Linked DNA regions of Coturnix japonica. The main gene of each other region encodes a partner of the protein of the gene in region 2 in a complex. Links are inferred from orthologs where the notes say so. Each region holds a gene or a part of one and is shown on either strand. Other genes may lie near its edges.

Region 1 (5,119 bases), on a different chromosome or scaffold from region 2:
AGGAGATATGGTTTAGGGATTTCCTGTAGGTATGGTAAAGGGAGGACGGTTGGACTAGATGATCTTTTAGGTCCTTTCCAACCTTGTGGTTCTATGATTCTATGAATGTTAATCATAGCTTCAGAGGTTACAGTATTGTCACCTTCTGGATATGAACTGATACAGGAAGAAATGTATAGGCTAATAGAATTCCTTAATTTTCTGGACTACCTGAAAATTGGAAGGGTTTGTGGAGCTCTCTGCAGGAAAAAGTAAATTAAGAAGCTCTGGAAATGTGTTGAGGGAGGAAAAGGTAGGAATGGAAAGAGAGGAGAAAGCAAGTCTTTAGTCCAACCAAAGCAAGAGATGTAAATTAAGAAACATTAAAAATGTCTGTTCTTTGGGTGTACTGAAGTGTAAGGTTTCTGCAGCTGTTGAACACTGCCAGGAAACAGAAATTCCTGACCACCTGCATTTGTTTGGAACAGATCGTCCTGTGGGTAAAAGGATCTGATGCCACAGGAAGACACAAAGAGAAGTGTTGCCAGTAAAAGCGCTGTAAATGTTCACTTGTGAACCCACAGAGAGCGAGTCAAAGGGAAAAATATGTGCAAAATTGGACTAAGGATTTTATTTGCAACTTCTTGTTAGTAGCTATAAATTCAACCCAGGAGGGAGGAGTGAGAGTATTTAACTGACCAAGGAAATTGCTGGCTAGACTCCAGCTGATACATGCCAGCAAGACTTTGTTTTGGATGTCATTCTGATGCTGATACCTCTTGAAAAAGGTAGTGGAGGAAAAGACAACCAGCTGAGAAACCTGAAACGGGACAGAACGAAAGAGACTGATGTGTTTTGCATCTGTTAGTGGTTCTCCTGTCTTTCAGCATTGCCCTGCCGTGTTTATTAGCACACCTTGTTCCCTCAGTCAAGGTCACATTCTTTTTTCCACCCCCTGCATCTGTTGGGCAGATTGCTGTGCTTATTTCAGGCACTGGTTGCACAGTATTTTTCATAGTCTCATGTGAAAAGCTGTCTGGGGATGGTTTATTTGGTATTTAACCTGTCTTTCGGCGTTCTGTTTGCAAACTAAGCAAGTATTTCTGGTGTTTATTTTCTATAGGTGTGTTTTGCTTATTAAATAGAGAAAGTATTAATTGTAATGACAAATCTCTCTTACTCAAAGAACTTAAGTGCTTTATTGTGGGGGAGGCACGAAGGAATTTACATACCAAAACCTTTCTTGCCCAAGTCACTGGGAGGGGAAGGTAGATAAGATTAAACAAAATAGTTCTGTTCTGTTTTGTACAAGTCTTTATCGCTTCTTTATGCTCTTCCAAGTCTGACTCTGATTAAGAGTCTTGAGTGCTGTCTTAAAAAGGCATCTGAATAAATGGCTTCTCTGTACTAATCTGCTTAGCTGAATGTGAACTGGCCTAAACATAAAACAGTGTGTGTTTAAAGACCTTGTAGCTAAAAAATGTAGAGGAATAGACTGTTTTGCTATCCCAGTCAGATTGCTAAAACAGAATTACTGCTCTGAAAGGGTATTTGTTCTTGTCCATGCACTTGGGCTTAGGTCCCATATATGAATATTGCTTCTGAATTAACTCTGGGAAGTGTTCCTCTCAGGATTCCTACATGCACTTGGTTGTGCAAAGACCCTTTTTGATGCCAGAAGAGAATCTCTACAGAGACAAGGAGTTTATATTGCTTCCATCATATGGCTCCATTATGATGTGAGCCATTTGTTACAGTCATTTCCTGGCTTTGTTTTCAGTCAAGGAATCAGACACTTACTTTTAAATATCTTTTCAGATTTCTTCAGAGGTCCCACTGTGTCCAACATTCGTCTGGCTGGGTTAGAACATGTTCTGCATTTCACAGCTGTCGATGGCAAAATTTACATGAGGAGCTACAAGTGAGTGTGTATTTTATCCATGTTTGGTTTTCTGGTAGACTTGTCAAGCTCTCCCAAATTTTAGCCTGTAATTCTGTAATTAAACTGCCTGGAGCAGTAGCGAACTGCATTTAAAACATATGGTATGTAGAGGTGTTCTGCTGTAACTCAGAGTAACTTGTGTGGCAGAAGGAAAGCACTTAAGACCTAAAGGTGTTCATTCCTTCTTTGTTCATTCCTCTTCCTTCTAGCTAGGAGGACTGTTCTCTCATGGTTGGACTGGTAATGTGTTGCAAATTAGACTTGGGGAACTGGTGAATTTGGAGTATCTTTTTAGACTTCACAGACTTAGTCTGATGTCAGGCTGATGTCGTAGGACTCTGTTGAAGAACAGCAGGCAGTACACTGTAGTCAGAGATACAGAAGGGAAAACAGGAATGTGCAGAACAAGATCATCTTCCTGACCTGGCATTTGCTCTCACAGTTCATGGCCTTTCCTCTGTGGGCTGCAAGTGCTGAAAGCCCATGTATTCTGTGCAACTTTGATTTCTCCTGTAACAACAATCTCTTTCTTAAAGAAACAAAAAACAGTACACACACAGCAAAACAGCACCAATAGAAAAGGCAGACTTTTTGCCTAGGGCTCAGAGTGTTTTGCTGTAAACTGCAGTATATGTACTTTCCCTGTTTGTTAATACACAGGGCACTGTTTTGAATTTCTGGAATGGTGTGGCTTTTTAGGGTAGTGTAATTGAATGTTAAGAGTTGTAATGAGAGTTCTAATCCCATTTAAAATACAAAAGCTAAAGAGATCATATTTTCAGTGTGTTCATGTTGTGATGGAAATTAATTATAAATTTATTGACAACTTTCTCAATAATAGAATTAGCAGTAGCAGTTTGTTTTTAATAATCTTCCCAATTGCAAGATTGAAACTGCCCTTTAGGAAGGCAGATAAATATTTGTCCCAAAGGACAATGTTGGTTGCTTTTGTTCTTTCCTTCTAGGGTGCTTCTGAAGAAATCTGGCTGTAAAATACCAAGAATTGAACTGGAAGATATCGGACCTTCGTTAGATTTGGTTATGAGGAGAACACATTTAGCTTCAGATGACCTTTATAAGTTATCTTTAAAACAACCCAAAGCCCTAAAGGTAAATCCCTTGGGATCATATGCATGTGTGGTTTTAGGCACTTGATTTGGTGGTTTATTGGTGATGATGGTACAGGCAGACACGCCTGGCTTCTCACCACAGCTACAAGCACACTCTGTACTCAGAAGTACTAATGCCGTTCTTCCCTTACAGCCTAAGAAGAAAAAGAACATCTCCCATGATGTGTTTGGTACAACTTATGGTCGGATCCACATGCAGAAACAAGATCTTAGTAAACTGCAGACAAGAAAAATGAAGGGGTTAAAAAAGAGACCAGCAGAGAAGTCAGCTGAAGATGGTGGTGTTAGTCCTAAAAAGACAAAATCTGGGTGATGGCCTGGAACAACTTGGAAAGCTATTTGTATCTTAATGTTTTTAAATGTAAATTATAATATAAAAGTGGCAAACATAAAGGATTTGGCTGCCTTTATGTTTAGTTTTATATTAAAAAATCTCACAAAAATTTATGATTTGTCATTCTGAAGGGAGCCTTGAGTTATTGAGCTCTAGCTTAGAGCCTGCTTATTTAGAAGGGGAGGGGGGAAACCACAAGATGTAACATGTTTAGTTTTCCAAAGCTGAATATTTATTCTCTTGATATGAGCAAACATGTGCTAGTTAAGCAGGTGACTCATTTCCCGAACAGTTTTATGGTTACAATGTTGGGAAACCTTGATCAGTCAACCTATCTTATGAACTCCTTGCAGGACCAGCATAGTGTGTACACATAATATGTGCAACATGACTTCTGCGTTCATTTACTGCTGATGTGTTTCAGTTTATGCACAACTGCAATACTTTAATAAACTCCAAACCATTTTCTAAAGTATGAACTCGTGACACGTGTCTAATGCCAGATTACTTGCACCAAGCCCTCCTTACCATTTGCAGAATGAGAAGTGATTAAGGTGTTTTCGCGGTGTTCATCACCATGGTAGCAAAGTACCTGATGTTTGCTTTAGGCATAAATGAAACCTTTACAGTTGGAATTTTGATCTTTGATGCTTGATTTGTGCCCAGAATGGAAGGAGCAAAGGTAAGTTAGTATTTTTGCTGATCTTAAGGATCTCTACCGTGTTTTATTTTGTGGTATGTGAAGCAGCCGTGAAAGGTACGAGTCTTCCCTTATCTCTGCTTGAGAGCTGCTTCTCTCCATAGTCTATGCTTGTGAGTTGGGGAGGATTCTGTATTATAAATATGTGCACTTTAGGTACACGATGAACACAGCAATGCTGCGAGTTTGTTCTTTGGTACTTCCTTTTCTATTCAGTTCTCTTAAGAGTTGGGTCAGCTGAAGTGTCACATCAGGAGACAGCTTCTTATTTTTGCCTCTCTCCTACTTCCTGGATGGAAGCCGTTGGGCAGCTTTGCAGTCCTTGTGTAAGAGCTGAGCTGTAAGTCTGGCAGTGCAGTTGCCATGCGGTGTTCTTGCTGCACTTGGTTTGATGAAACTTACAGCATGACAAAGAAAGGGCTTTCAAAGTGTGGGGTCTTTCTGAGGTCATTAGGCTGTTTTTGGTTTTTTATATACAAATTGTTTTCAAGTTATGTTGCTATCGGGGATTGAAATCTGTTCAGTTTCTGGTAAGTACTTTGTATTAGTCAAATAGTCAAAGTGGTGCTGTCTTGGTGCATAGTGGGCAGTGTGGGTTTCTTAGTGTGCAAGGAGATAGTTGCTAGCTTGGTTTCATCCTGAGCTCACCTCATGTCTTATCAGCCTTGCTTCAAAGCAGTGATGAAGCCATGAGATGGGCGGCAAATGTGATCTCTGTTGTACAGCATGTAAGATGGTACCTCTGCGTGGCAGGCAGTGCTGTGGTTTGAGTATCTGGTTTGACTCAAGGTAAGTGGAGATATGAGGGCTAAATATAACAACTTTATAGTTGCATGTTCTTCTTTCTCACAGTCTTTTAAAGCGTGAGGAAACTTGTCAGATGCTGCACTGTAGGTGTGTGCGTGGGGAACAGAACATGCTGTGCTCAAAGGGCAGCTGTCAAAAGGGACCTCACCACAATTGCCCCTTGCGTCTGTAGGTCTGAAAGTACATAAAGGTGGCCTCCAGGGCTCTGTGGTGTGTGCGAGGCACAG
Region 2 (4,681 bases):
GAGACATGGGATCTCTCCAACAAAAATCTTTATTATCGCACAGCTGCAAAATAAGCGACTGCTCACCTTATGCTTTCTCTGCTCTCTTTTCTATCTGTTACATGCACCCTCTACCCAGGCAGTACGTGTACACAATGGCCACAGTCTCAATGCAGAATTATTTCACACACGCGATTTAAACCATACCTTGGGAATAAGTGTGGCTGTGAGTCGGGCACCGACATCTGGATAGCAGGAAAGAAAAAACACAAAGAACACACAAAGAACACAACACAAGTACTGAAGTGCCGTTTTAAAGGTAAAACTAAGGCAGAACACCCGAAGGAATCCCTCAGAACCTCCTGCAGGCATTCAACCACCCGTCCCGCCCGCACTCACGCCGCCCGCTGCAGCTGCCTGAGGAGGCGCACGGCCCGCTCCCGCCCGGCCGCCATGGCGCTGCACGGCCCGCTGGGACGGCACGGCCGGGAACACCCCTCAGGAGCCGCGGGGCGGGACGCCGGGGGACTTGGCTGCAGCGCTACCGCTCAGCTCTTCACAAGCCTCGTTGTCCTTCTCTGGACCTGCTTCAGCACCTCACAGAATCACAGAATGAGCCGGGTTGGAAGGGACCTCAAGGATCATGTAGTTCCAACCCCCCTGCCTGGCAGGGCCACCAAACATACACATTTACTAGATCGGGTTGCCCAGGGCCCCGTCCAACCTGGCCTTGAACACCTCCAAGGACGGGGCATCCACAACCTCCCTGGGCAGCCTGTTCCAGGGCCTAACCACTCTCCTTGTGAAGAACTTCCCCCCAGCATCCAACCTAAATCTTCCCTCTTTTAACTTAAAACCATTTCCCCGTGTCAGCCCTTTCAAAGAGTTTACTCCCTTCCTGGGAGTAAGTTCCCTTCAGGTATTGAAAGGCTGCAATGAGGTCACCCCACAACCTTCTCTTCTCCAGGCTGAACAAACCCAACTTTCTCAGCCTGTCCTCATAGGGGAGGTGCTCCAGCCCCCTGATCACCTTCGTGGCCCTCCTCTGGACCCTTTCCAAAATCTCCATATCTTTTTTGTACTGAGGGCTCCACACCTGGACACAGTACTCCAGATGGGGCCTCACAAGAGCAGAGTAGAGAGGGACGATCACCTCCCTATCCCTGCTGACCACCCCTCTCCTGATGGAGCCCAGGATCCCATTTGCTTTCCGGGCCGCCAGAGCGCACTGCTGGCTCATGTTAAGTCTTTCGTCCATCAGGACCCCCAGGTCCTTCTCTGCTGAGCTGCTCTCAAGGACCACTCCTCAAGGACCTCCCCATTGCAGAACACAGGAGCTGCTGCCCAGCCACCCCCAAGCCCTCCCACAGGAGCCGTGCACAAGACATTTCAAACACCAAAATGTGTTTATTGACAGAGGTGCGGGCTGCACAGCGGTGGATGTGGAGCAGTCCCTTTGCACCCCTCGCATACAGTCCCTCAGTGCCCACGGCGCTGTTCCCTTTGCAGCCTGCATGCAGACAGTCCCTCACGCCTTCTTCCTCCTGCCACCGCCCCCCGCTGGCTGCTGCTGCCGTCGGGCCGCGCCGCCCTTCTTGCCGCCTCCGCTCCTCTTCCCGGGCCGCTGCTGCCGGCGGCCCCGCTTTCCACGCTGTCCCCGCTTCTTGCCCTTGGCGGCGGCCGCCTCGGCATCCTCCTCGCGGAGCTGCTTGTTGACGGCGCGGGTGATGTCCAGTGCCGGCTTCTTGCTGTTCATGCCCCGCAGCAGCTCCAGCTGCCGCCCGCGCTCGGCCGCCAGGTCTCCCAGCAGCGGCTGGAAGCGCCGTTTCTTGCCGCCGTCGCGGGAGGGCGGCTCCGCCGGCTCCTTGGGCAGCCGCGGCTGGAAGCGGCCGAGCGAGGCGGTGGAGACGCGGGCCACGCGCGATACCAGGCCCAGCTCCTGCCGGCTCTGGTGGCCCGTAGGGTGCAGCGGGGCGGCGGCGGCGGGGCGGTGCGCTCGGGCCAGGTTCCGCAGCCGGTTGAGCTCGTTGCGGGCCACCCGCTCCCTCTTGGCGTGCCGCAGCTTGGCGAACTGGTCCTCGTTCGGGTCTGCGCCCGCCGGCACCTCCGCCAACCAGGCGCGGGCCGGGTCGCCGCCCGCCCGCCGGTACCCCCAGCGCCGCCGCCACTCCTTGGCCTCCTCGTCCCACACCAGCGAGGTCCGCTTGCGGCGCCGGATGCCCTTCAGCCGGGCGAACTGCTCCCAGCGCGTGGGGGGCCGCGGGCGAGGCGGCGGCTTCTCCCGGGGCAGGCGGAACGCGGGCTCGGGCAGCCGCGCCACCAGCGGCCCCGCCGCCCCGTCCGCCCGCTCGGCCGGCAGCTCCCACAGCCGCGCCGCCAACAGCTGCGCGTTGTCCCGGGCCAGCGCCCGCAGCCGCGACTCCCGCTGCGGCCCGGCCCCGCGTAGCGCCGCGGCGGGAGGCGGGTTGGGGTCCAGCGCCAGCAGGTTGCCCAGGTCGAACTCCAGCTCCAGCTCCTTCTCCACCTGCACGCTCCGCGCCTGCTGCTGCTCCTGGGCCGCCGCCGCCGCCAGCACCTCCTCCACTCGCACGGCCGCCATGGTGGCGGACCGCGTGTGGCCGCCCGAGCGCAGGAAGCGCGGCGCAGCAATACGGGTCAGTGCGACGGAACTGCGTACAGAGCCCGGAATGACGGGAAATGTAGGCTGCACAGATACGGGCCTCAGCGCCCCATGGGAGATGTAGTACACCATGCCGGGCACAGCGGCTTCCACAGTCCCTCAGCCCGCTGTGTGGTGGTTGCCACAGTCCTTCGCCCCGCTGTGTGGTGGTTGCCAAGCAGGCATTGCATTTAGCCCCAGCATGGGACAGGGCTGGAGTGAGGGTCTGTGAAAGTCAGGTGTTGCTGCCCCGTGGTATCACGGAAGGCCAGGGCTGTGACTGAATGTGCAGCATCCAGGGTGAGCAAACGGCCTCACAGCTCTGCCAGCCACTGTGGGTGGTGTGTGTGATAGCACGCAAACATCAAGCAGGTTTAAGACTCACAGATTTGTAAATAATATAGATACATTTCTTTCACAGCATAAATTTCCATAACATTCAGGTGCCCGCAGCACTGCGGCACAGCCATGTCTAAAAGTTCTAGCCGCAGAACCAAAATTCAAGTCCCATATAGTCCTCCCCAGGTGCCCAGGGAGGTTGTGGATGCCCCGTCCTTGGAGGTGTTCAAGACCAGGTTGGACGGGGCCCTGGGCAACCTGATCTAGTAAATGTGTATGTTTGGTGGCCCTGCCAGGCAGGGGGGTTGGAACTACATGATCCTTGAGGTCCCTTCCAACCCGGGTCATTCTGTGATTCTGTGATATTCCAGCCCCACTAGGACTGACAGTGACCCTGAGGGCAGGGCTGTTGGTGAAGGAAGAAGGGGAACAGCATTTGGATAGTGGGATTGGCAGGTGCCTCATGAAGCACAGTGAAAAGTGAGGTGACACCGTGCACCCAAAGGTTGTCTGGGTCAGAGATATTGCCATGCTATTTTTAAATAAATGAGGTCTGGAAGGATCCTTTTACAGGGATGTGGCCTGCATGGCCATGACATTTCGAGCTGACTCATGTACCCTCAAAACAAGCTAAAGGGGGCGTCTAGTTGTGGCCAAGGAAGTTATGGGAATTTTTACACAAGATACACATTTCTACTAAGCTAAATCACATCTCTACGGATACATAATGTCTGCAGTGACGGAAATGACTCTAACGGCAGAGCAGTGTTTTGGGGAAGTAAATAAAATGCTAGGCTTGTAAATAGAGATGAATGTACTTATAATTCTAACTGTGATAAAGTCTCGTTTTTTTCCACTCCCAAGTCAACAATTCTGAGTGTGTTTTGTACACTATGGAAGAATTGGAGCAGATGACGCATACCTTTTCTCCTTTTACCACAAGATGGCATTGCACTGGAGGCTATGCTCTTTCTTGGACCTCGTTATTTTTTCACCTAGAATTACAGATGAAATTAACTTTAAAGATGCGTCTTTGAAGGGATGTATGTGCACTATTAGATGAGATTCAAGCATACGTCTGTACTTTTGAATGGCAGTCTGGTCAATACCTACCTGCTGATCCTTGTGCTCTCCTGAGTTTTGTTCTTATGCAGTGAACTCTGAGTTCTTTTGGTTAATATTTGTTCAAAGCCCCAAAGCGTTCATATAAATGACTAGGAGTGGAAGGATGCAATCGCTAGTATTTCTTACACTTCCAAAGTTACCTTGAGAGTTTATGATTACTGTGTGTCACTAGAACAGCAGTAGGAGCACATACCAGGACTTGTTGTTTCATCTGATAGCCTGAACTTGCTAAGAAAAGAAAAAGAAGAAAAAAAAGCCCATAATGTAGCAATTCAATTTCTGGGAACTGTTGTTTTAGAGTTGCATTCCAGCTTTCTTATGTATTCCAGGAACTGTAATTTGCTATATGGGTGCTTGCAAATCAGTAAACAGGTCTGTTTGTTTGCTGCAATGGGGATCCTTGCCAGGAAACTCGGCACTCAGTACACTTGGCCTAAAACTGAGTTCAAAGGTGAGTTTTTTAATGCCTTTTTGTTTTTCTTTTTTCCCCCCTCCCTTTGCTGTATATTTCATTGCTGGAAGCAAGGAATTGTTCCTGTGCACTTATGCATGTGGTTGGACAGTCGCAATTAGTAATAA

Evidence for each region.
Region 1: RRS1 (region 2) and RPF2 share a complex: the UniProt entries of both Homo sapiens proteins name them as parts of the hexameric 5S RNP precursor complex. The link is inferred for Coturnix japonica from reciprocal best matches to the Homo sapiens genes RRS1 and RPF2.

Annotation. Positions count from the first base shown.
Region 1 is NC_029518.1:60,330,271-60,335,389, reverse strand, and holds the end of RPF2 (ribosome production factor 2 homolog), read left to right. Parts: exon of another isoform or gene 1-799; intron 800-1,797; coding exon 1,798-1,900; intron 1,901-2,886; coding exon 2,887-3,031; intron 3,032-3,184; coding exon 3,185-3,364; 3' UTR 3,365-3,867; downstream 3,868-5,119. UniProt on the Homo sapiens protein: Involved in ribosomal large subunit assembly. May regulate the localization of the 5S RNP/5S ribonucleoprotein particle to the nucleolus.
Region 2 is NC_029517.1:104,229,783-104,234,463, reverse strand, and holds RRS1 (ribosome biogenesis regulatory protein homolog), read right to left. Parts: upstream 2,646-4,681; 5' UTR 2,579-2,645; coding exon 1,508-2,578; 3' UTR 1,367-1,507; downstream 1-1,366. Other genes in the region: ADHFE1 (hydroxyacid-oxoacid transhydrogenase, mitochondrial), read right to left, coding at 187-224, 379-434. UniProt on the Homo sapiens protein: Involved in ribosomal large subunit assembly. May regulate the localization of the 5S RNP/5S ribonucleoprotein particle to the nucleolus.